3 linked regions of the Arabidopsis thaliana genome follow. The protein of the gene in region 1 interacts with the protein of each later gene in a pairwise test. Each region holds a gene or a part of one and is shown in the gene's direction. Other genes may lie near its edges. The genes, in order: AT4G16750, MYB62 and GATA17.

Region 1 (7,897 bases):
TTCGTTTCTCTGAGGATCCAACTGCTCACATGTTGGAAGTTTGTTCCCTCCTTGACATTGTTTGGAGGTGTATTTAGAGTTGAAAATTCAGCTTAAGGGTACTATTGGGTGCAGGATGGCATTGAAGAATGTCGTAAGTTATGTGGTGGACATGGATACTTGTGGTGCAGTGGGCTCCCCGAGCTGTTTGCTGTATATGTTCCTGCCTGCACATACGAAGGAGACAATGTTGTGCTGCAATTACAGGTATTTGTCATCAACTGCGAGCTATTCTCACTTACTAGAATAAATCTGTCAGCTCAAATAGATTTCTTAGCATGTGGCTCGTTATCTTATGTCTCTCTGGACTTCTGTCAGCTCAAATTGCTTTCGTATTGTGAGCTTTGTACTTTCTTAGATATGGTTAATTGCAGGTTTATGTCAATTTCTTCTGTTTCATATTTTATTTTGGCTTTTTGTCACCTGCAATTTGTTTTTTTTTGTTTTTTTTCTGGTTGATATGCAAACCACATTTAACCGCTTTTGAAGTGTTTGGTTCATTGTTGTTTCCCCAATGTTTCCGACAATTCAATTCACGCTATTGTTTAGGTTGCTCGATTCCTCATGAAGACAGTCGCCCAGCTGGGATCTGGAAAGGTTCCTGTTGGCACAACTGCTTATATGGGCCGGGCAGCACATCTTTTGCAATGTCGTTCTGGTGTTCAAAAGGGTGAGTTTTCAAGTTTAAATGTCTTTTTCTTCGTCCTGCTACAACTACAAACTAATGATCTTGTCTCAATATAATTCCCGAGTTAATGATAAAGTTGGTTTTTTTTTTTGGGCATGTAGCTGAGGATTGGTTAAACCCTGATGTTGTACTGGAAGCTTTCGAAGCTAGGGCTCTCAGAATGGCTGTTACGTGTGCCAAAAATCTCAGCAAGTTTGAGAATCAGGAACAAGGTACTCTTCTAACTCCATGAATCCAGAACAATTGGTTGCCATGTCAGCTCATAAGCCAAAGGACCAAACTCTCACAAATTCTTCCTGTCTGCAGGATTCCAAGAGCTCTTGGCTGATTTGGTTGAGGCCGCTATTGCTCATTGCCAATTGATTGTTGTTTCCAAGTAATCTTCTTCTTCACCGTTTACACGTATCAAACAAGTTAATGATTCTCCCTCTCAATGTCAGTTCCTGAATTTTGTGATCTTTGTCTTGGTTAGGTTCATAGCGAAACTGGAGCAAGACATAGGTGGCAAAGGAGTGAAGAAACAGCTGAATAATCTGTGTTACATTTATGCTCTTTATCTCCTCCACAAACATCTCGGCGATTTCCTCTCCACTAACTGCATCACTCCCAAACAAGCCTCTCTTGCTAACGACCAGCTCCGTTCCTTATACACTCAGGTTCTTTCTTCCTCTCTCTCTCCATCTCTGCATTTGATTCCTTTTTAAGCTAAGTTTTAACACGTTTTTGTTGCTTCTTTTAGGTCCGGCCTAATGCGGTTGCACTTGTGGACGCCTTCAATTACACCGACCATTACTTGAACTCGGTTCTTGGCCGTTACGACGGTAATGTGTACCCAAAGCTCTTTGAGGAAGCGTTGAAGGATCCATTGAACGACTCGGTGGTTCCTGATGGGTACCAAGAATACCTTCGACCTGTGCTTCAGCAGCAACTTCGTACCGCTAGGCTCTGAAGAGTTTTCTTTGCTTGATACTCGATATGGTTAATCACATTAGACTTGCTTCGTCCTTCTTCTTCGTCTTCTTCTTCTTCTCGCTTTGAATAATTTCGCAGTTTAAAAACTGGCGATGCCCTTATTTATATGTAGCAATGTAATAGTTAATGTACGATCGTCATATGGCGGAATTTTAGTACTATTTTTCGTTTTCAATGCAACATTAATACAATTGATCGTTTCTACTCTGAGAAGGATATGTGGGATATTTGTAATCTTCGTATATAGTCCAATCACATATATTGACATTTCTCTATTGCTTTCGTTAAGATTGTATTATGTAATATATAGGGTTAGGGTTACTTAGGCAAAGTTATTTCAGAAATTATGCAACTTCCATTGTAGAAATTTTTTTTACTCATACGCTGATATTTTAAATAACTGTTCACTCCGTTTTAATTTAGTTGTTGTTTTATCACTTAAGTTTTGTTTTATAATTATTGTTTTGGATTTTCAATGCAGATATTTTGGTAAAAATTTTAGTTTTATCTTCAAACTTTTAATGTCTTAACTAATTAAAAAGTTAGAGAATATATTGAGCATAAAGTAAAAAATTAATTGTTTTCTTAATTTTTGTGCAAAACTTTAAACGACATGTAATTTAAAACAGAAGAAGTATAATTTTTAAAAATGTAATTAAGCTGTAAGAAACAGTGGTTTGTAAACAAAAGAAACCTGTTTTTCATATATCCTTCCATTAAATTTTCACCAAAAACAAAGTTTGGGAGTTAACCCACGATTTCAATGTAATGCGTCGTAGGAAGAAGAAAAATTTGTTTGCAACATCAATATGAAAGAGAAGTTTGCTTAAAATGAAACATGCATATGGAGTTTTCAGGATTGTGCTTTGTTTCAATTAGCATCATTTTCCGACAGAAGACTTCCAGACCTTTATATTAATTAAGCATTTAATAACCGAATTTGGTAGGTAAATTAAAATAGAGCAAACTAATGTTTTGGTTGTAATCACCTTTATCAACCAACTGTTTTAAAAAAACTAAAAAAGAGTTTCAAAAGTGGCATTTATCTTTCATTTTCTAATGGTTAGTAGTTAAAGTGTTTAGGGAATTAAGACATCGACCCGAATTAAATTTTACTTTTTCTAATATATTTTCTTCACCAAGCTAGCTAGCTAATCTGACTTTCTACTTATTTATTCCCTTATTTAAACTTACGTACAGTTTTAACTTTTAAGAGTGTGTCTGTATATAAATCCATTAATCTATATATTATGATATTTATCTTAAATAAATATTATTGGTCGAGATATTTTTATGAAATCTGAACAGAAAACACTCCAAACAATTTACAGTACTTGCCAAAAAAAAATTACAGTAAAAAAATTCTTGATTTCATAAAAAAATCACTCAATTTGTTTACTACTGAATAATCAACATATCTCTATAGTCTTTTCACTTTTATGTAAAACGTTTATTTTTATTTTTATCTTAGTCTTAATCGTCAAATGGACCCCACGATAAAACTAATACGTAACTTGCTCCCTCTATATGATAATGTATACATTTTCAACATCATACTTTGTACATATACTGATATACACTACATGTGTTTACGTCGTTTTGCGTACGTGTGTCGTCCACAGCAATCTTCACTCAAATTCTTTACTAAAAATGCTTAATCTTTAAATTCTATAATATATCAAAAAAACTTCTACAATTATTTAGGAACGTATATCCGCAAATGTGCATAACCTAATCCGTCTATTAAGCAAACGTCCAAGTAAAAAACATTGACTGACAGTTGTTAAATAATATATTTTAAAAAAAAATTATCGTTACTAATAAATGGCTAGTGGGTTCATTCCAATTCTTTCACTTTTATTAATAAGTCTATGTTATTTTATGTCAATATTTAACATTTTCGCATCAAAATGGAGTATATAGGACATACTTTAACGGTTTAACCCCTGCTAAAATGACAAGAATTCAGATATTCAATAACGTGATACAATATATAAAAATATATAGATTATATATATAAACGTAAATACTACTATTATTACCTGAGGCATTTTTTAATGAGTTAACTCTTAAGACGAATTTTATTTTATTGCTAAATTAGTTTTATTTGTCGAAATGTGAATTAAATTAATTAATAAAAAAAGATATTTACAAAAGTGTTTGGTCAAGAAAAGAAACAGAGCAATAATATCAGAACCAAAACCAGAGAAACTTATGAAACAGAGCACACAAAGCTAACGAACTAGGAGTTGCGTCTCGACTGAAACCATAGCTGAAGTAGTCCCTGGAGGCTGGAGCTTCCGATTTTCGAAATAGTGTAGAGGCGTATACTGCTAAATTAATAATGAGATTTAAGATGTATTAATATTAACCTTGTCTTTGTCAAACTTAATCCGAGTGAAAAACGTGGGTTAGCTTTGTAGGCAGACATGGGTCATGGTCGGGCAAACGAAAATATGACATTTTTGGGAAAAAAACAAAAGACGGAAATTAGAAAAATTGTAAAGTAAACTAAAAGTAAATTCGGGCCCACAAGTTACAATTGAATCTAATTTTTTCTAAAATCTACTGTACTGTGAAAATGTCTACACAAACAGAAAAAAACAAATGATCTCAAGTTATATCCACATGTAGTAACTGGTGGATCTACTCGAAAATAGATATTTCAAACTTCAATGAAACGATGGCCAAAGCATATGTCAGAACTTTAAAAGAAATATTATATTATAATTTTAGATAAAATTCTGTTTTTTTCTAACCAATATATTTGTCTAAAAATTGGTTCAAAACCAAACAGAACAAATTAATTTAAATATCGATTTCGGGCTGTTTCAAGTACGTATTTTTTTAATTTGGAAGAACTTGGACGATTTAGGAGAAACGAGTGATAACAGTACACTAGAATGTTTACAAACGAACAAGTGTCCAATTCAGGTATAAAATAATGAATATTATAAAGTAAAGTAAATATCATTGCAAGCAAAAACAAAAAGAAAAAAGAAAAAAATCTTAATGTAGTCAAGTCTCTCTTTAGCTTTTAATATTTGATTTATACATAAAAGAAAAAACATACACACAAGAATAATTGCTTCGTATTTGGATGTATATATTAGAAAGAAGCAAACCAATCTCTTCTCCTCAAAACTATTCCTACTCTCACACTCCAAAATACCAAAAACAAAACATTTTTTTTAATCTTCCCACCAATTTTTTTCTCTTTCTCTCGTTACATTAAATTATCTTTAGATGCAAGACTCTTCCTCTCACGAATCGCAACGTAACCTCCGGTCACCGGTGCCGGAGAAAACCGGAAAGAGTTCTAAGACTAAAAATGAGCAAAAAGGTGTTTCTAAACAACCAAATTTTCGTGGGGTCAGAATGAGACAATGGGGAAAATGGGTGTCTGAAATTAGAGAACCAAGAAAGAAATCAAGAATATGGCTCGGTACTTTCTCTACGCCGGAGATGGCGGCGCGTGCACACGACGTGGCGGCTTTAGCCATCAAAGGTGGCTCTGCCCACCTTAATTTCCCGGAGCTAGCTTACCATTTGCCGAGACCGGCTAGCGCGGACCCTAAAGACATTCAAGAAGCCGCCGCCGCAGCAGCTGCCGTTGACTGGAAAGCACCGGAGTCTCCGTCTAGCACCGTGACGTCATCTCCAGTCGCCGACGACGCTTTCTCCGATCTTCCTGATCTTTTGCTTGACGTGAATGATCACAACAAAAACGATGGATTCTGGGACTCGTTTCCGTACGAAGATCCTTTCTTCTTGGAAAATTACTAGAAGGCAAATTCTTGCCGGCGAACGGATTTTCCGGTGGTTTCCCGGTAAATAAGAAGACGATGTCGTTTTGTACCTTTTTTGTCTACGATGGGAAATTTCTTTTTTTTTTACGTGTGAGTAAAAGTTTCCGAATGTGTGATGTGTAAGTAAGTACAGGTTATTTAATTTCTTTTTTTTGTACAAATACGTACGTCATTACCAAAAAGTTTTCATTTATTGTGCTTTTATCTTCCAAATTCATTAAGTGTGTGTCTTGACCCTTTATTTTCACATCTTTGAGTTCTGACAAAGACTCTAACTTTACTCCCATAGAGCCGGCAAAGAATATATACATTTAGGGTTTCTTCGAAATCTTTTTTTTTTTTGTAAACATCTTCGACATGTAAATGTAAAGATCAGTATTTTCATGGTTAACATAGATGACTTATGACTTGTATAGTTATTCGTTATGTAACCCATCTCAAAATCAGGACATTTACTTCTCATTATTTGCAGATAAGAAAAATATAGCATGGAGTATATTTTTTTTTATTTCTTGACTGTATGGTCTATTACATCTTTTATTGTGACATTTATAATGATAGTCGATATAAGGATTTTTAATATCTTTATAATAAATTAGAAACCGAACTATATATCCTCCCTTAGTATATGCTCATGAACATTAAGCTCGGCCGCATTTTACCATTTGAAAAGCATATATTAAAATGGAATTCGTTAAAACAAATTGTTTGTATATTGAGAAATCTAGCAGCCAAAGTCACAGTACGGTACGTAGAATACAAAGAGAAAATGGCAAATTAGTACAAGAGACAAACTTGATGGTCTTTTCTGTCATTCTCTATTTTCCACTTTTATTTTCTCCCTTTTTCGTATCATCTTATTGGCCCTTATAAAGTTGAAAATTAAAGGACCTATTGGCCCATTTATCAATTAAATGTATGGTGTATTTAATGTATGTATAGTTAGTACTGATTTTCATTCTTCTGTGCAATTAGTGTCCTTACTTTTTCTCTAATCATTCTTATTATATTGCTTTTAGCAAATTTAATCTAGATAGAGGGTTTTTATAATTCTTTGAAATCAGTTCCCTGAATATTATATTCTCTCTGTCTTATACTTTTCTTTTAAGGTTCACATCAAACTTTTCGTTATTAGTTCAACAAAATTGAATGTTGATTATTAATTTGTACATATTCATCTCGTATATTTATTTATATCTGCTATATATTAGACGTAGCATAACTGTCCAAACTATGGAATGAATTATGAAACATTTTAGATCATCTTTTGATGAGTATGCGTGTTTATGCATAATCCCTTTTTTTTTACACACCCAGCGTAGATTTCTGATCGAAACCCAAACTAAAAAATATAGAAAACTAAAACTTCTTATTATTTAAGCAGATGCATAATTGCTTTAATCATGTGCATTGTCTTACCAAAAAAAAACACAAAACAAATGTGCATTGTTTTCTCTACTAAAGAAATATATTGCATGTTGACTTAAAAACTCATAGATATTCTTTTATGTTTATAATACTATTAAAAACATACTGTATTATTGTGTAAGAGATTTTATTTTATTTTTTGGTTAAAAGCGGATACAGTCATATAGTTACTAAAATAGACGAATGTTTGTGAAAAAAACTTTGTTTACGACTTTACGAGCATTTGTATTTGTCATGACCATTTTTTATGAAAAAATGTTTGCCAACGAGAGAGAGATACCATCACATAGTCATATATGCAAACTTTAAAAATGTCTAGTTAATTATACGGAGTGTTGTTATCACATACGAACACCTTCAAACAAACATAAGTCATATTTACACAAAGGACAATAATTTATGTAGCTAGCGAGATATTTTTAAAGTTTAGATATCTTTTTTTTATACTTTTCAAATATTGTCTTTATTGGTAACTTTTACAAAGATTCAACTTTTACCGTGATGGTTGAAGATTTTTAGTTAATCAAATTCGTCCTTTTAGTGTATAGGAACAATTATAAAGTTAAGCAAATTTATCTCTAGAAGACATTTTTGAAAACCTTAAAGACATAAAAAAAATTTTTTTAGTAAAATGTGAAGTTAAATGCTACATAATTGTTTAAAGCGAATTTCAAAATATATTGCGTGGTTGAATTTATTCATTATAGAAAACATCAGTTGAATTTATTCATTTTAGAAAACATTAGTTGTTTCAAATTGCTTTTAAAGTATTGTTAAATAGACCGTTGGAGAGCAGAAATGTAGATATTTTTTAGTAATGTGTTCTTGATAAGATAACGGTTATTTGTTTTGTTAACTAACTGATATATAAAACTTAATTCAAACATTTCATTCAAATCAAAAAGATGACTAAGACACTTTGTGTCGCAAATTCGAACACGCCTACTATGGGTTTTGTACG
Region 2 (8,059 bases), on another chromosome or scaffold:
TGGTGAATTGGTTTGATTGTGTGTGATTGTGAGGATGTGATTATCGTCTTACAGCTATTAGCATCTGAAATTAAGAGTAGCTAGTGTATGCATAGGTTTTGGAACAACTTGACATGCCTCTTAGCTTGAAGTTTGCTTCTTTACACTATTAGAAGTCATGAATCTTTTGTTCTCATATGCATATCTTTTCGAAGTAGGTGTTGGAACCATTTGACATGCTTCTTAGCTTAAAGCCTACCTATGAATCTTTTGTTCTCGAATGCTAAATTTCTTGTAATTATGCGTGGTATCGGTTTGGTAATCTGTGAACAAATGGAATCTATGTTTTAGTTGATACAGAATGATATTGGATTATTTCTGTTGTTTTCTTTAACAATACACAAATCATATAAGAGATATCAAAGATCCAGAGCATCCTAATACTCTGGAAGATCTCAGAGTAGTTACAGAAGACTCAGTTGAAGTGGATGATGAGAACAGTTATGTTAGGTAAAATGTTGGGATTGAACGTTTTGTTATGGATTTTTAGTGTTCCTTTGAGCCAATCTGTTGAGCTCTACCATTTCTTTTCAGGGTTACGTTCACTCCAACTGTCGAACATTGTAGCATGGCAACCGTTATCGGTCTTTGTGTCCGTGTGAAACTTCTACGAAGCCTTCCTTCTCGATACAAGGTACAAAGCTTTCTTGTTATTTCATTTCTAAGATTTTCCGGTTCCCTTTTCCTGTAAGTTTGTCAAGATGATCTTCTGAGCCCATTTTCTGATTTATACATTATCGAGAGTGGTTTGAACGTAACTGAGATCCAACACATGTTCTCCTTGTGATGATATATGAGGCAGAGAAATTTTTTAATTTTTCATTCTTAATCAACTGTTCTTGATACTTGCGAAGAGAAGATAGCCCTAGCCTCTACTATATATAGTTAGGACTGCCTTAAAACACACTCGCACAATGTTTTATGTGCCTCAGTCCTCTGAAACGAATCTTCATTTTTCAGATTGATATAAGGGTAGCACCTGGTTCTCATGCAACAGAAGATGCATGTATGTCATTTTTCAATATCTATCCATCTTTTTTGGTATGCATGTTTTGCTTTACATCGAGTGTACTTCTTTAACATGATGTCTGGTTTCTTGGTGTTTAAAATGCAGTGAATAAACAACTAAACGATAAAGAACGTGTGGCGGCTGCACTAGAGAATCCAAACCTCGTGGAGATGGTTGATGAATGCCTGCCATCAGAAGAGTGAATTGCTTTTATTTTCTTGTGAGCAAGTAATTTACACAAGCCTGGTGGTCTCAGTTTACACTATCAATACATGTCTCTGTTTTATTTGCAAAGATTTTGATCCATCACATCGACTAGGACTTGCATTGTAATACTTACTCTGATTTCAAGTTTGTTCTCAATCATTTCAATAAAGTCTCAAACACAAGTTCTTTTTAATAAAAGTTGACGTGTCATTTCGATTTCAAAGTACATATACATCAATCAAGTTGGGAACTTCACATCTCTCTCTCTCTTAATGCATTATTACAAAGTCAGCAAATTGTTTATGAAGCAAAAAGCTGTTTTCTTCTTCTTCTTCTTAGATGTATTGATATATGAAAAAGGAAACAACGATAATGAGATGGATATTTTTGGAAAGGATATGTAAACTTGAAACACACACTTTCTTTTTGTGTCCCAACTTATCTTTAGGTTTTCGATTATCCAGAGTATATGATGTTTATTGTTTCGTTGTATAATGTATGGGACTCGAATCATACTTTAACAAGAATCTTGTATATAGCAACTTGGTCTCAAGATCAACCTAGTTGCATAACTTGTAACCCTCCGATAGAATCTTGCAATCATATATATCTTGTAGATGTTGACGAACTCGAGAATCGGGTAACAATCAATCATCTTCTTTTGTAGTCTCGTGATTTGATTATTGTCGTCGTTAATTGTTATGCTATAAGTAGAGTTTAAATTTGAAAATATGCGTATGTGAGTTGTAGACGACAAAAAATATTTAAATTTGTTTACGTTAGTCCAATTATATGGATAATATTTGAAGGAAATGAATGTAACTGTAATTCTATAGAACAAAAATGACTGTTACTAATAACATAGTAACAATTATGTCATTGTTGATTATATAATAAGAGAGGATAATGAAGACACAAATGTCAAATCGACTTTGTTTTCTTTATTCCTGGTCTTTAGGCTTTATTTACATGTTGTTTTGGTTTTTGGGAGTTATCATCTTCAAAAGATTGGGTTGAACAGTAAGTGAGAGTTATTAGCAATACCATAAGTTTTAATACATGCACATAGACATTTTTTGACTTGCCGGTGTAAAGCGACACGACCCTTCCTTATTTTTCCAAAATTATTATTTGTTTAACAAAATATTATACAATACGATTTGAGCTAATGAAAACTAATATAGGAAGAAGAATCTTTGAATATTCAAAGTTTGAAAGGATAATATGCTATACTAAGTCCGCATAAATTAGCTGGCTTCTAGAAAATTGTTGTTAAAAATAGCTGTCTTCTAGTTTTACCATTTACATAAAAGTTACAAGAATTTATATCATTCATTACACCATATGTAATATATGGATATGAATTCGGATGATGCCACATCGACCACAATAGCTCAAAGCTACTAAACAAAAAGTCTTGACTCTTGATCAAACATTTGGAGTGTTTATTCCAATTTTTGGATTGTTTTGGTACAATTTTTATTTAATCAATAATTTGTGGGACAGTGGTTTATTAGGTTTTGTAATATCTTGTTTGTCTCGAGTCAAGACACATGTATCATGTATGCTTCTTGTTCCCATACCAATAATTATGTTAAACTATGTTCAATCTCAATATTCAGCAACATTACCAAATAGAAAACCAAAATTTTTATAAAAACTGTTAGCCAAAGTTGGGATAAAGACAATTTTAGAAGTAGAAGAAAGAAAAATGACTAGTATACACTATCACAGAGGTAAGAGTTAAAAATGAACTCTATAGCATATTATGAATATGACTATTGTAAACTTTTCCTGTATAGTTAATTTAGTATTTAAGAATCTAAATCGTACTTTCTTCTTCCAAAATTCTGTTCCATATTCTTTTCACGTGAACATCTAATCCATAGAGTTAAATCACCAAAATTCCATTTCTGTTTCATCGTCGCATAAAAAAGTTTATGAAACTGTATCGATATATTCTATGCTTCTAATGAATTATATACTTGGACCAGGGTTCATCGCAGGATTCGACTAATCCAAAACTTTTTTTTTTAAGAAAGTCATATTTAACTGAAACAAAAACCAGATGATTTAAAAAAAAAATGTTTGCATATATCATATATGTGTTGGCTTTTGAACAATGGTAGCTCGAAAAATAATTTCAGAAAAATTGCATGCGTAAGATGAAAACAGAGACGCGATTAAGAAAATGTCAATGAGATATTTTGTGATAACAAATACTAATGAGTTAAAACATGTTTTTTGACAATTTTAGAATGTATAAATGTCCTTGGCAATGTTAAAAAAATAACAATATTTTGTATGAGTTAAAAAGAGAAGCTAATTTAGTAAAACAATTTACTTTAATTTGGAAACGTGTGATAATTAATTTTTCATTGGAAAAAAGCAAGCTGATGGCTAAAGTAACAACATTTTCCAATACCACGACCACGAGTCTATAAATTCCCAAGAACCTGTTGAATCACTTTCACTTCTCAAAGCACCTAAAAGTCTATCTCTCTCTCTCTGTATACAGTCATGCATGCATAGAGCTTAAAAGATACGAAAACACCACAAACCAAATATCATTAAGTAATTAGGAAACTTAAACTAAGTATGGAAAATTCGATGAAGAAGAAGAAGAGCTTCAAAGAAAGTGAAGATGAAGAACTAAGAAGAGGGCCTTGGACTTTGGAGGAAGACACACTTCTCACAAATTACATCCTCCATAACGGTGAGGGTCGTTGGAATCACGTCGCCAAATGTGCTGGTAATTAATCAAGAACTTGATATTGGTTTATTAGTTAGATTCTCTGACTTTACTATATAATCACTATCTTTAACAAAAATGAGAACAGGGCTAAAGAGAACTGGGAAAAGTTGTAGATTGAGATGGTTGAATTACTTGAAACCCGACATAAGACGAGGGAATCTTACTCCTCAAGAACAGCTTTTGATCCTTGAGCTTCACTCTAAATGGGGTAATAGGTGAGTGATGAGTCACTTTCATATCTCAAGAGTCTTTTATTTTCTTTTTTTGTTTTTTTTTTCTTTTTTCCTAAACGAATATTTGTTATCTAAGGTGGTCCAAGATTGCACAGTACTTGCCAGGAAGAACGGATAACGAGATCAAGAACTATTGGAGAACAAGAGTTCAAAAACAAGCTCGTCAACTCAACATCGAATCTAACAGCGACAAGTTCTTTGACGCTGTTCGTAGTTTTTGGGTCCCTAGATTGATCGAGAAGATGGAACAAAACTCATCCACTACTACTACTTATTGTTGTCCCCAAAACAACAACAACAACTCTCTTCTTCTTCCTTCTCAATCTCACGACTCTTTAAGTATGCAAAAAGATATAGATTACTCGGGTTTCAGCAACATAGACGGTTCTTCTTCAACTTCTACTTGCATGTCTCATCTAACAACAGTTCCACACTTTATGGATCAAAGCAACACCAATATCATCGATGGCTCGATGTGTTTCCATGAAGGCAATGTTCAAGAATTCGGAGGATATGTTCCTGGCATGGAGGATTACATGGTAAACTCGGACATCTCAATGGAATGTCACGTGGCGGATGGTTATTCAGCGTACGAGGATGTTACACAAGATCCCATGTGGAATGTGGATGACATTTGGCAGTTTAGGGAGTAATTAAGTCGTCAAGAGATGAGATGGTAGAGCCTACCACTACGGTTCTATTATATGGACTAATATACTTCTTTTGCTTAACTAAGCAAAAAGTTTCGAACCTTTTACCCATATTATCTCGGGTTGGAGACTAGAACATGTTAAATTTGTATCTTCTTTGTTGCGAGTACTTACTAAGTCATTGGATAAATATTTATAATGATAGTTTCTTGTACAAGTCTTTGAATTCATGAAATCTTTTATCAATGTATGGAATTTTATGAAGTTTTAAACTTTAATCATATTCTTTTCGGATTGGAATTGAAACATGTTAAATTAGTCTAAATTTTTCCTCTTAGTTGGTGATCAAAGTCAATGTTTGGATAATTATTTATAATGCTTGTTTGTTTGTTATATAAGTCTTTAAATTCAAGAAATCTTGTATCAGTGTATGGAACTTCAATTTATGAACTAACCAGGTCAATTTTATACATGACTAGACTTAAGAGTAAATAGTAAAGGGTAGTCTCTTGTCTTGAAATCTTTGAGACTTGTGTGGATTTTAGTGAGAAGAAAACATATCTAATCTCACCTCAACAGGTGAAATAACCCAAAAGCTAGGAGAGTCGATCTATCCAAGATATTAAAATGATGGGGATAGAGACTCAACCATCTGTCCCTTCACCAAATTTGATGTGTTTCTTTGTAAGATCGTTGACAATATTACAGGGCATTTGGCTTGATTGACATAAATCGTTTTTTTGTGGAATTAACGAATCATAAATAATAATAAAAGAATTGATTACATAGTTGAATGCTCTTACATAAAGTTTTAATATATACGCATTTAGACAAACCATACAAAAGTTTTAATATATGCGCATTTTGTATACCAGCAGTAATCAATGTTGGTTCAAGAAGATAATAGAGACAAAGGACCCATCAATTATTTATTATAATTATCTGAAAAGAGCTTCAACTAAAATGATAGAGAAAGGTGGCTTTGGAGAAGTCTTGTTAATGGGATCGAATTATTGGAGGTCACTTCAAAAGCCTTTCATAAGTACATGGAAACTCCACAATGATTTGAACCCAAAGGGTACCACTAAAAGTTGGAACAAACATTGATGCACTTTTGAGAGGTTATGAACGATAGATCACACTCATTGTGTATGTAAAGATTTTAGTATTTCAGACAATATACAAAAAAAAAAAAAAAAAAAATTCCTTATGATCGAATCCAGAAACGTAGATGGTCCTGCTATGGACGTGGAATTATAAAATTGTATAACTTAAAGATTAAATATCTAAAACTGGTGGATAAACGCCAAATACTTTTAGAAAAGACATGAGTAACGTGGACCCAATTTGAATAGAAACATTACTGTATAGGTCAAATATTCATTAATTACGGATATATGTTAGTTGCAAAAAAATTTCAAATTTTGTAAGAACATAATCCACGCGGCCAAATCATTTGCATCTTCAAAATTCATTTCCAATGACAATGATCTATATATTGTGGAATTTTAATTGCATAAAATCATATATATTTTGAAAAATGTTTTTAGTCAAGTAGTTAAGTGTCTATTTTTGCGGTTTTCTCCAGTTACCCTTACCCACACAAAATAAAAAGTGGGCTATCGATCGGACCTTCTCGACTGATATGGTATTAGAGTGAAACCAAAAAAAATCATATTTTCCCAACTTAACAAGCACATTTATTTTAATCACTGTAATCGAAATTCTCATGTTCAAAAAATTTTTGGGAAACAAATAAAGTGAAGTCATGTTTGGTCTACATATCACCAAGCTTAATCTTTATATTGTCTGAATAGTTTATATATCTGCGGATTGGTCGACCATACAACCAGGCAGATAGTGAGACCAAACCTTGATCTTAAAATAGGCAAGTTCAATTTAAAGTGTCGTAGAACTGTATGGCTTGTTAAGGTCGAGATGGGCCAAACTAACATTTCTACTGCAATACTCATTTATCAAAAATTTGGAGATACGCAGAAATATCAAAAGTTATGAACCGAAATCGATAGTTCCATCGGTTGAACCCGAAAAGAACATCAGGGAGAAAAAGACCAAATATTTCAGTTCACACAAAATATATTAACGTACAATGTTCTAATCTTTAGTTTGGAGAAATATGTCTTTTAAATTACTTTTTGGTTAAGAAATACTACAAACCAAAAAAAAAAAAAAAAAAAAAAAAAAAGTCTTACTACAAATAATGGGGAAGTAGAGTGGGTGGCACTGGTATATTAACGTTGGTATGGTTAGGTAGGCCGTAGGTTAGTATGAAAGACTAGAGAAAGTCAAAAGTCAAGATTATTGTTTAAGAAGAGGCACCAACTTAAGAACACCAGCTGGTTTAGTTCATGAAACAAGACATTTTACAACAAAAGTTATGACCATCTCGTAAAGTAAACAGTGTTGTTTTGGCACCAAATCTTACAACCACACGTTACACGTATTACGCATATATATATATATGCTCATTTTCTTGTTCCGTGTTTCCGAGTTCATCTTGTTCACATTGTTCAAACAGATTATATCTTCACTTCCATAACTATTATAGTCAAACCTAAGACATGAATAGATTGTCATGTTTCGGTGAATAGTGAACCAACCTCGTATCTCACATGTCGACTGTGTAGAGAGCATAGAAACAATGAACCATCCCAATTTAAGAAAAATAAAAAAAGGAATTGAAGGATAAGTGAGGCCATATGCACTCTGCACTAATACACATGTAGAGAGCATAGAATCAAGTATAGTGAAAGAGTACGATAACGTCAGCAGCATTATCCTTAAATCCCAAAGGCAAAGGGCACCTTATTCCTTCCTAAATCGAGTAATATTTCCATGTGGTTCTATGGTTCTTTAAAGAATATTCATACACGATAAAATCCACATTCGTCGAACCAATTATTAAACTTTTGAGCAATGTAGAGGTAGAAAATAAGATTGAATGATGTCGACGGAGGTAAAAAGAAGAATGAAAAAAGCTAGATAGCGCATAATACAACAATCTCTTTCAAGTTTTTTGACTAAATCAAAATCACATGCGTGAAAAGACTAAACTCTCTTTAGTCTCTTACCACAAAGCTTTCGGCCACTTTGTAGGACAGTAAGTATCAACATCACACTATAGCACATAGAGAAAGAGTCTTCC
Region 3 (8,090 bases), on another chromosome or scaffold:
TGAGACTTGTAGGATATTTGACGGTTTTGTCAGCCGTGGAGTTAAGCCAGGATTCAATGGTTATCTTGTGTTAGTTCAAGCTCTGTTGAATGCTCAGAGGTTCTCTGAAGGTGACCGGTATCTGAAACAAATGGGTGTTGACGGGCTTCTATCAAGTGTATATAGTTATAATGCGGTAATTGACTGTCTCTGCAAGGCTCGACGCATAGAGAATGCAGCTATGTTCTTAACAGAGATGCAGGATAGAGGTATTTCTCCGAATCTCGTAACTTTCAATACCTTTCTGAGCGGTTATAGCGTGAGGGGTGATGTAAAGAAGGTTCACGGCGTGCTAGAGAAGCTTCTTGTACATGGTTTCAAACCAGACGTGATCACTTTCAGTTTGATCATAAACTGTCTTTGCAGAGCAAAAGAAATTAAAGATGCATTTGACTGTTTCAAGGAGATGTTGGAATGGGGTATTGAGCCAAACGAGATCACATACAATATCTTGATTCGCTCCTGTTGTTCCACCGGAGATACCGATAGATCAGTGAAGCTGTTTGCGAAGATGAAGGAAAACGGGTTAAGTCCAGACCTTTATGCGTACAATGCGACTATTCAGAGTTTTTGCAAGATGAGAAAGGTTAAGAAGGCTGAGGAATTGCTTAAAACAATGCTGAGAATTGGTTTGAAACCAGATAACTTTACATATAGCACTCTCATCAAAGCTCTAAGTGAATCTGGAAGAGAGAGTGAAGCAAGAGAGATGTTCAGTTCAATCGAAAGACATGGATGTGTTCCAGATTCATATACTAAGCGTCTTGTTGAAGAACTTGACCTAAGAAAAAGTGGACTCTCGAGAGAAACCGTGTCAGCCTCATAGAAATTGAATCCTCGAGAGTGTGAATATCCTATGAAGGCTTAGAAACCGGAAAAGTGGGTTCGTTTCATTTGGAAATGTCTGAGAAAGAACCCGATCTTTGCCACGGGTTGCCTCTTTGATGCAGACGGAAGAGAAACAGAACATGAGTGCAAAATGCAGAACAGAGTATTAAGTTTTGTTCTTTTGATTGATCAAAGCTTTTATATATTTCTGAGTCCGAGAAAGTGGCGGCAATAGTAATGGCAGTTGGTTGGTACTTGACAGTCAAAAGGCAAAAGATTTTGTATGTTTAGCACTAGATAGCCTTGGCCCTAATTTATACCCTTACCGTGTAACAGTTTAGGAAACAACAGTTTTGCCAGATTATATTGGACATGAGTATTGAATGATTTTGTTGTTTCGATCTCAAACTAGTATGCTTAACAATCTTTTTTTCAACGTAAGAGATGAGAAACGAACTAAGAATAGACCAATATTGTTCAGGAATCAGGAAGCTGAGAAAAGAAGACAAAGCAAGAGTAGTAGTAATTAAACAATGCAAGAACCAAATATTTGGGTATTGTAAATGGACTAGTTGCTTTTGCCTTTTGCCAGTTGCTTGATTTCCACTGAACTTGGTACATAAGAGCACCTAACAGGAAAACTTTCAGAATCTCCGAGATCCACTTTTCTGAAGTATCCATTCTCTCCAATGATGTAAGCTGTGATACGGTTTCTCATCTCTTTGTCCTTATCAAAAACCACAACTACTTTCTTCTCCTCGTCAATGAAGAAAATTCCATCATCAATAATGAGTGGTTTCATGTCCACTGTTAAGAACAACTTTCCCCACGACACATTGTTGGGCTCAATCTTGTTAGTAATCCATATCTCCATCCTTGATATATTGCAGCGGTGAAGTAACACTGCAAGTTTCTCTTCTCTAACACTAGAGAGAGCCACAATATCTCCACAACGAGAGTGGAACGGCAGAGGCAGAGTCGGTCCAAATCTCTCTGTTGTAAAATCAAAAGAAATCAAGAAGTCACCCCTATAATCAGTATACGTATAAGAATTTCCTTTCACAGAGACATCCATTTTATAAAAGGCTGTCGCCCAATTGGAATTGACATCAAGAGCCCTCCATGAATTAGAGTCTAACTCATAGATTTCGTAGTCAACACGTTCATCATCAATATTTATATAATTGTGTTCAGAACTCAAAATTTTGTAGCTGCGGCACGATTTTTTCGTCTCGTATCCAATAGCATATATATATGCGTGATGGCTTCTAGGTTTGATCCACCGAGTTTGCCCCAAATACGGATTCCAAACCACATCTCTAGTGTTACTGAAGCTTTTTGTGATGCATACCAAACCACCGCAATGATAGACTCGACACATACCGATTGGGTTAATAATTTTACCATTACACTTTATAGATGGTTCAACGTCTTCTTCCTTGTTGAGATTGATGTTCATTAAACAAAACTTAGAATCCATCATCATGATCACCATAAATTCCTTGGCAGCTTTTGTTTGAACGAGTTGCTTCTTTGTAAAGCTTTCTTCTTTGGCTAAAGTGTTCCACTTTTTGCAAGTCAATCGTATTGCTCTCATAGAATACAGTGGACTTCTAGAGAGTATCTCCTCCAACAAATCATTCGGAAGTTTGGACATCTTTGTCATTGTTTCAGCACTCAAGGATGATCAATGTAATAGAAATTTAGGGTTTTACTCTCACGCTTTCCTAATCTTTTTAATCGACAAGAAATAAGTTAGGTAACAACTTTATATGCCAACTTTCAAAAGTTATTTCCGTGAAAAAAGAAAAGGAAACAATAATTCTTTTTACTCCCTAATGGGCTAATTAGTATAATTAAACCACTATAGTGTAAAAATTAAGGAAACAATAATTCTTTGGCCAGATTCTATTTTACATGAGCATTGAAGGACTTTAGTCTTGTTTACCTCGAACACTAAATAACAAAGGTTATATTTTATAGAACCCAAAAAACAAGTCTTTATTAGGTCTTTACGTCTTTATCTCCTCCAACAAATCCATTGGAATATTGGATATCTTCGTCATTGTCTCAGCAAGGTTTCGATGATGTAGAAAATAGGTTTTTTTTTTTTGACTTCATAGAAAATAGGGTTTTTTAATTTAGAGTTATATAGTCAAATAAGTTACGTTACTTTTTTATGCGGCGACCTTCAAAAGCTCTTTCCAGTTCCAATTTTCCAATTTTGTTGTATTTTGTACTAATTTCCTATATTATGGTAAAGGGCTTGTCTATGGAATTAAGCCCAATCTTTTAACTTTATAATCGGTCTTGTTTTTTGCTGATGGTTTCTGCAATGTGGTTGTTTGAGGAGCTTTGTGGTCCTAACTTGGCATCCAAGGAAGAAAACCTTGTCTTTGTAGAACTTTGAGGTTAATTTAGTCCTACAACTGCGAGGTTAATTTCTTTCTTCCTTAATAATCTGCTTGGCAAAGGGTCATATCAATGCTCAAGTACGAGTTACATTGATACACAAAGAATTTCAAATATTGAAATTATCTCATCTTATTGGTGAAGTCTTACATATGTTGCAGAGTGAAGCTCCAGAACTCACCCAAAAAAATGCTCTGATGCATACGAAGGAAACTCATAATCTCACTCTTTGTCTTGATGATAAATATGTTTGGTCATTGGTGGTCAGGTCTCAAATCATCTTTCTGTTGTGATATGATGAATTACTGCATGAATATGTCAAAGAGAAACTATCTTCTTTTTCATGTTAAAAGAACACACTGATTAACAATTCCTCTAGTTCCTCTATTACTAACAGAAATGATCATTGAAAAATTAAACGGAGGCTGATCACTTTTCAATTCCATCATATATAAACTGTTTGGAATAAAATCAAATATGCCTTAGTTAATAATTCATACAAGACATGAGAATACAAACTAATTTTGGATTTGCACTAAACTTGAAACATAAGTGGGGAAGAAGTTATGTTTGAAGATTCTTTGAAATTCACTTTTTTGAAAATATCCATCCTCACTCCAATGTTTAGAGTTCACACCGAACATCTTCGTAAGACCAAGATTGAACAAACCTCAAAACTTTGTGGTTGAGGCCGCATGATTTGTCATCCACGTATCCTATGCCATACTTAATCCTACGGTGACAACTTAACGGTTCGAACCACCGGGTTTTCTTTGTGGGTAGGTGCATCTGTACTGTAATTTCTTCTTCTGTAGCTCAACTAAAAAACTGTACTGCGTTATCATGCTCATGGGCCTGGACTATCAAATTGAGCCCAATGGATATTTATCTTACAGAATTTTGCCATTATTTTTTTGTTTTTTTATTAATAATCCAGTCATCATTCATAAGTTTTTAAAAAATTCATTTGTTGCATTGATTGTAAATAAAACCGACGTAAAACTTTATTAGTTTATTATAAATTTTGACATTAGAAATAAAATAAAACCAAAAACTGAAAAAAAAAAAAACGTGAAAACAGATTATTGTCAGGACAGCGACCAATAACAAACCCTAGCCGCAAAATTTGAAAGCGGCTAGTTTTAAAAAACAAAAAATCAAAACATTGTTTCAGATTTTAGTTATAAGTTTTTGGGCGGGTGGCACAAAATTAATAAAAGCTCCCGCTCGAGGGTATTTTAGTCAATTCAAATAACCCGAAATACTAGGGTTTCCGCCCCCGCCTTCCTCCTCAATTATAAAATTCCTCTCCGTTTGTTTAATTCTGTTGCTACTAACCGCCGTCTCTCTCTCTCTCCCTCTTCCTTATCATCAAAACTTGCTCTGCTCCGATCTCTTAAAAAAAAAAAGATGTCTGAGGGATCAGAAGATACGAAAACAAAACTCGACTCTGCCGGAGAGTTATCAGATGTTGATAACGAGAACTGCAGTAGCAGCGGAAGTGGCGGTGGTAGTAGTTCTGGTGATACCAAAAGGACTTGCGTTGATTGCGGAACTATCCGAACTCCTCTTTGGCGTGGTGGTCCTGCCGGACCAAAGGTGAGATTTTTAACTAACCCTTTCATTTCAATCTTCTTATAGTCTATTGGGTTGTTGTTAGATTCCGATCTAGTAGATCTAATCAATGGATCGCGAAATAGCATCTATATTATGCATGATCCTATTTTAGGTTTTATCGTTTTTCAAATTTATTTAGGTGATGAATCAATTTAGTGACCGGAAAGATCTGATCTCATATTGCTCTGAAGTTCAAATTTTTCTTATTTCTTTGGTTTGTCTTTTGCTATGTAGTCATTGTGCAATGCTTGTGGGATCAAGAGTAGGAAGAAGAGACAAGCAGCACTTGGTATGAGATCAGAGGAGAAGAAGAAGAACAGAAAAAGCAATTGCAATAATGATCTAAACCTCGACCATCGAAACGCCAAGAAATACAAAATCAACATAGTTGATGATGGCAAGATCGACATCGATGATGATCCGAAAATTTGCAATAACAAGCGTAGTAGTAGTAGTAGCAGTAACAAAGGAGTGAGTAAGTTTTTGGATTTAGGGTTTAAAGTACCGGTGATGAAGAGATCAGCGGTTGAGAAGAAGAGGTTATGGAGAAAACTCGGTGAGGAAGAAAGAGCTGCTGTGCTTCTCATGGCTCTCTCTTGTAGCTCTGTTTACGCCTAAGTGTTTCTCTGTATTAGGTCATAATCAAGTGAGAGCGATTTTGATTAACTTAATTAGATAGAGATAATATGTAATGAATGTGTAAGTTCCTAGTTTTTTGGTTCCACTAATGTTTTGTGTTCATTTTCTTGATGAATTCAAATATCAACACTTTTTTTTGGTTCTTAGTCATTCAATGCCATAATAATGAGAATTGGTCTTAATTTTTAGTGCCTCAAATGTCATTCTCTGTGTATGGGCCCATATGGCCCAAGATATTGGGCTTTATCGGGGGAATCGTGAGGCGCGTGATTCTAGTTGTCTTGTCTCCGTCAACTCCACCATTTTTTTGTTTTTTGGTCCATTGATGTCGTTTTTCATTTGATTTGAATTTTTATATGCTTTTGAATTCACAACTGGTTTCAAATTCAGATTTTGTATGGTTTAGAGTTTTTTTTATATATATATCATGCTGAGGTTGTATACTTCGATTTGTTTTTTCATTTTATTGAAGGATGGCAATTTTTCGATTTGCACTTGGCAGAGTATCTGTTTGTGTGATTAAAAGTTGTTATGGTAACTTTGTAACAGGGACAGTGTAAATTTTCGATTTGCAATTGGTTTTGTTTTTCATGTAAGCGTATGATTCAACCTTAATAAGCCATCATTAATAATTAATAATGGTGGACCAACAAAATTTTAAGTAATGTTAAATATGGCAAAGTCATGAATCATACTTATAATTTTTTTTTAAAAATCTAAAGTGGTGACGAAAATATAATTCATTTAAATGGATCACTGGTGGACGAATGGTGTGAGTGTGACATGGCTAGGTAGAGCCGTGAACCTCGAGAATGATTCAAATTAACGGGGCAACTTCGTTCAACGGGGGACTTTCTTTTGACCAAAGCTTCTATTTATGTGTTTCACCCTTATATTATGCAGTTTCTTCGATTTAGGACCATTACTTCCATTGATTCCTTTATTTTCCTAAGCAAAGAGTACAATTTAGGAATAACTTGTCGATATTTTCCATAAACACCATTTCTTAATTTTGGAGATACGTTTTCCTTATTATTTTTCACAAATTCAAACAAAATCTTCATAATATATTTTAGCTATCAAATCACACTCTCAATACATTCAAAACTTCCATAAACACTCTTAGAAATCACTAAAATTTAGTAGACAGAAATATCAGTAAATATTTGAATATAAGTCATTTAAGCGAACATTCTATAAACTGTGTTTGGTATCAATGTTTTATAGCTAACGATTAGGTGTAAATTACACATTCACATAATTACTAAGATATAGGTTGGGGTTGCATTTTTTTATTAACAGAAATATATGGTTCATCTTGTAATTTGAAAACTTAAACCCACTATTTTATAATTTTGTCAGAAGAACAAAACCTTGTCTTTGGCTTTTGTTCGTAACCTTTGTTTACTTGATCAAGAAAAAACATTAAAATCCGACCAAACAAGGAAATATACACATTTTCAACGCGGACATAAATTTTCATTACAGCGTCTTACTAAGCTGTTCTGTTCTTTAACGCGGTCTCTTCCTCTCTTCAAAATTAAACTTCCGATTTTTCACCTTTTCATTTCCAGAATTTGTTTTTTAAAAAAGAGATTTTTGTGAGTGAAGAGATTTAGAGTAATCATGGGTTTAACTCGAAATTTCATTTTATGGATTCTTTTGTCATCTCTCTTCACGGCGATTCAACTAACGTCGTCTCAACGCAACACTCCACCACCACGCTCTAAAGACGCCGATCTCTGCAACGGCGTGTTCGTTTCCTACACTTACTTAACCGGTACCAAGATTAAACCAAACGACACGAAGAACCAGCCGTACCGGTTCGAATCAGAGATCACGGTCCTAAACAACGGCCGCGACGAGCTTAAATCGTGGCAAGTCTTTGTTAAATTCGCCCACCGCGAGATTCTTGTTTCAGCGACCAACGCTGTTCTCTCTGACGGTTCTAGCCTCCCGGCTAGCGTTGAGAACGGGACAATCTTCGCCGGGTTTCCATCGGCGGATTTGAAGACGGCGATCATGACGGCCGGCGACGTAACTCAGATGGAAGCACGTGTTGAGCTCGTGGGTACTCAGTTTGGAGTTGCTCCGCCGAGTGTTCCGCTTCCGAAGAACATCACTCTTGTTAATGATGGATGGTCTTGTCCTAAACCCACTCAACAAGGTATCAAAATCATCTGAATCTTATGACTTGAAATCTTGAGATTTTTTAATGTATTTTTTCATTTCTCGTTTAATTGTTCATAATTTTTTTAATGAATTGTTGCAATTTTAAATATTATGTGATCTTGGGTTGCTTATGAAGGCATTACCAAGAGTTTTAAAAGTCGAGCAATATGATCACATTGACCAGGTCTATTTGTGATCAATAGAGTGGTTGAAAAATTCTATTGTTTATATAGATTTCTTGTAAACTAAAAGTTTGAACTAGTCTTATTAGCAATTGAGATTAGACCTTAAGTTTACTTAGGAAACTATCTCATGCTTGGCTTTTCTGATAAATGTGTGGAATATCTGATTAAACATTTTGGAATTTAAGCTGTTCAGTTTGC

The links.
Region 2: the proteins of AT4G16750 (region 1) and MYB62 interact in a two-hybrid assay, tested with the Arabidopsis thaliana proteins (one large-scale study listed by BioGRID).
Region 3: the proteins of AT4G16750 (region 1) and GATA17 interact in a two-hybrid assay, tested with the Arabidopsis thaliana proteins (one large-scale study listed by BioGRID).

The regions. Positions count from the first base shown.
Region 1 is NC_003075.7:9,418,709-9,426,605, reverse strand, and holds AT4G16750 (Integrase-type DNA-binding superfamily protein), read left to right. Parts: upstream 1-4,748; 5' UTR 4,749-4,945; coding exon 4,946-5,485; 3' UTR 5,486-5,955; downstream 5,956-7,897. Other genes in the region: ACX1 (acyl-CoA oxidase 1), read left to right, coding at 115-246, 589-709, 829-939, 1,034-1,103, 1,200-1,383, 1,467-1,676.
Region 2 is NC_003070.9:25,599,989-25,608,047, forward strand, and holds MYB62 (myb domain protein 62), read left to right. Parts: upstream 1-3,687; 5' UTR 3,688-3,853; coding exon 3,854-4,007; intron 4,008-4,095; coding exon 4,096-4,225; intron 4,226-4,319; coding exon 4,320-4,896; 3' UTR 4,897-5,193; downstream 5,194-8,059. Other genes in the region: AE7 (MIP18 family protein (DUF59)), read left to right, coding at 396-489, 574-673, 1,000-1,045, 1,154-1,251. UniProt on the Arabidopsis thaliana protein: Transcription repressor of phosphate (Pi) starvation-induced genes. Negatively regulates Pi starvation responses via the repression of gibberellic acid (GA) biosynthesis and signaling.
Region 3 is NC_003074.8:5,761,176-5,769,265, reverse strand, and holds GATA17 (GATA transcription factor 17), read left to right. Parts: upstream 1-4,505; 5' UTR 4,506-4,689; coding exon 4,690-4,878; intron 4,879-5,130; coding exon 5,131-5,514; 3' UTR 5,515-5,769; downstream 5,770-8,090. Other genes in the region: PPR40 (pentatricopeptide (PPR) domain protein 40), read left to right, coding at 1-865; AT3G16880 (F-box and associated interaction domains-containing protein), read right to left, coding at 1,436-2,533; COBL8 (COBRA-like protein 8 precursor), read left to right, coding at 7,162-7,702. UniProt on the Arabidopsis thaliana protein: Transcriptional regulator that specifically binds 5'-GATA-3' or 5'-GAT-3' motifs within gene promoters.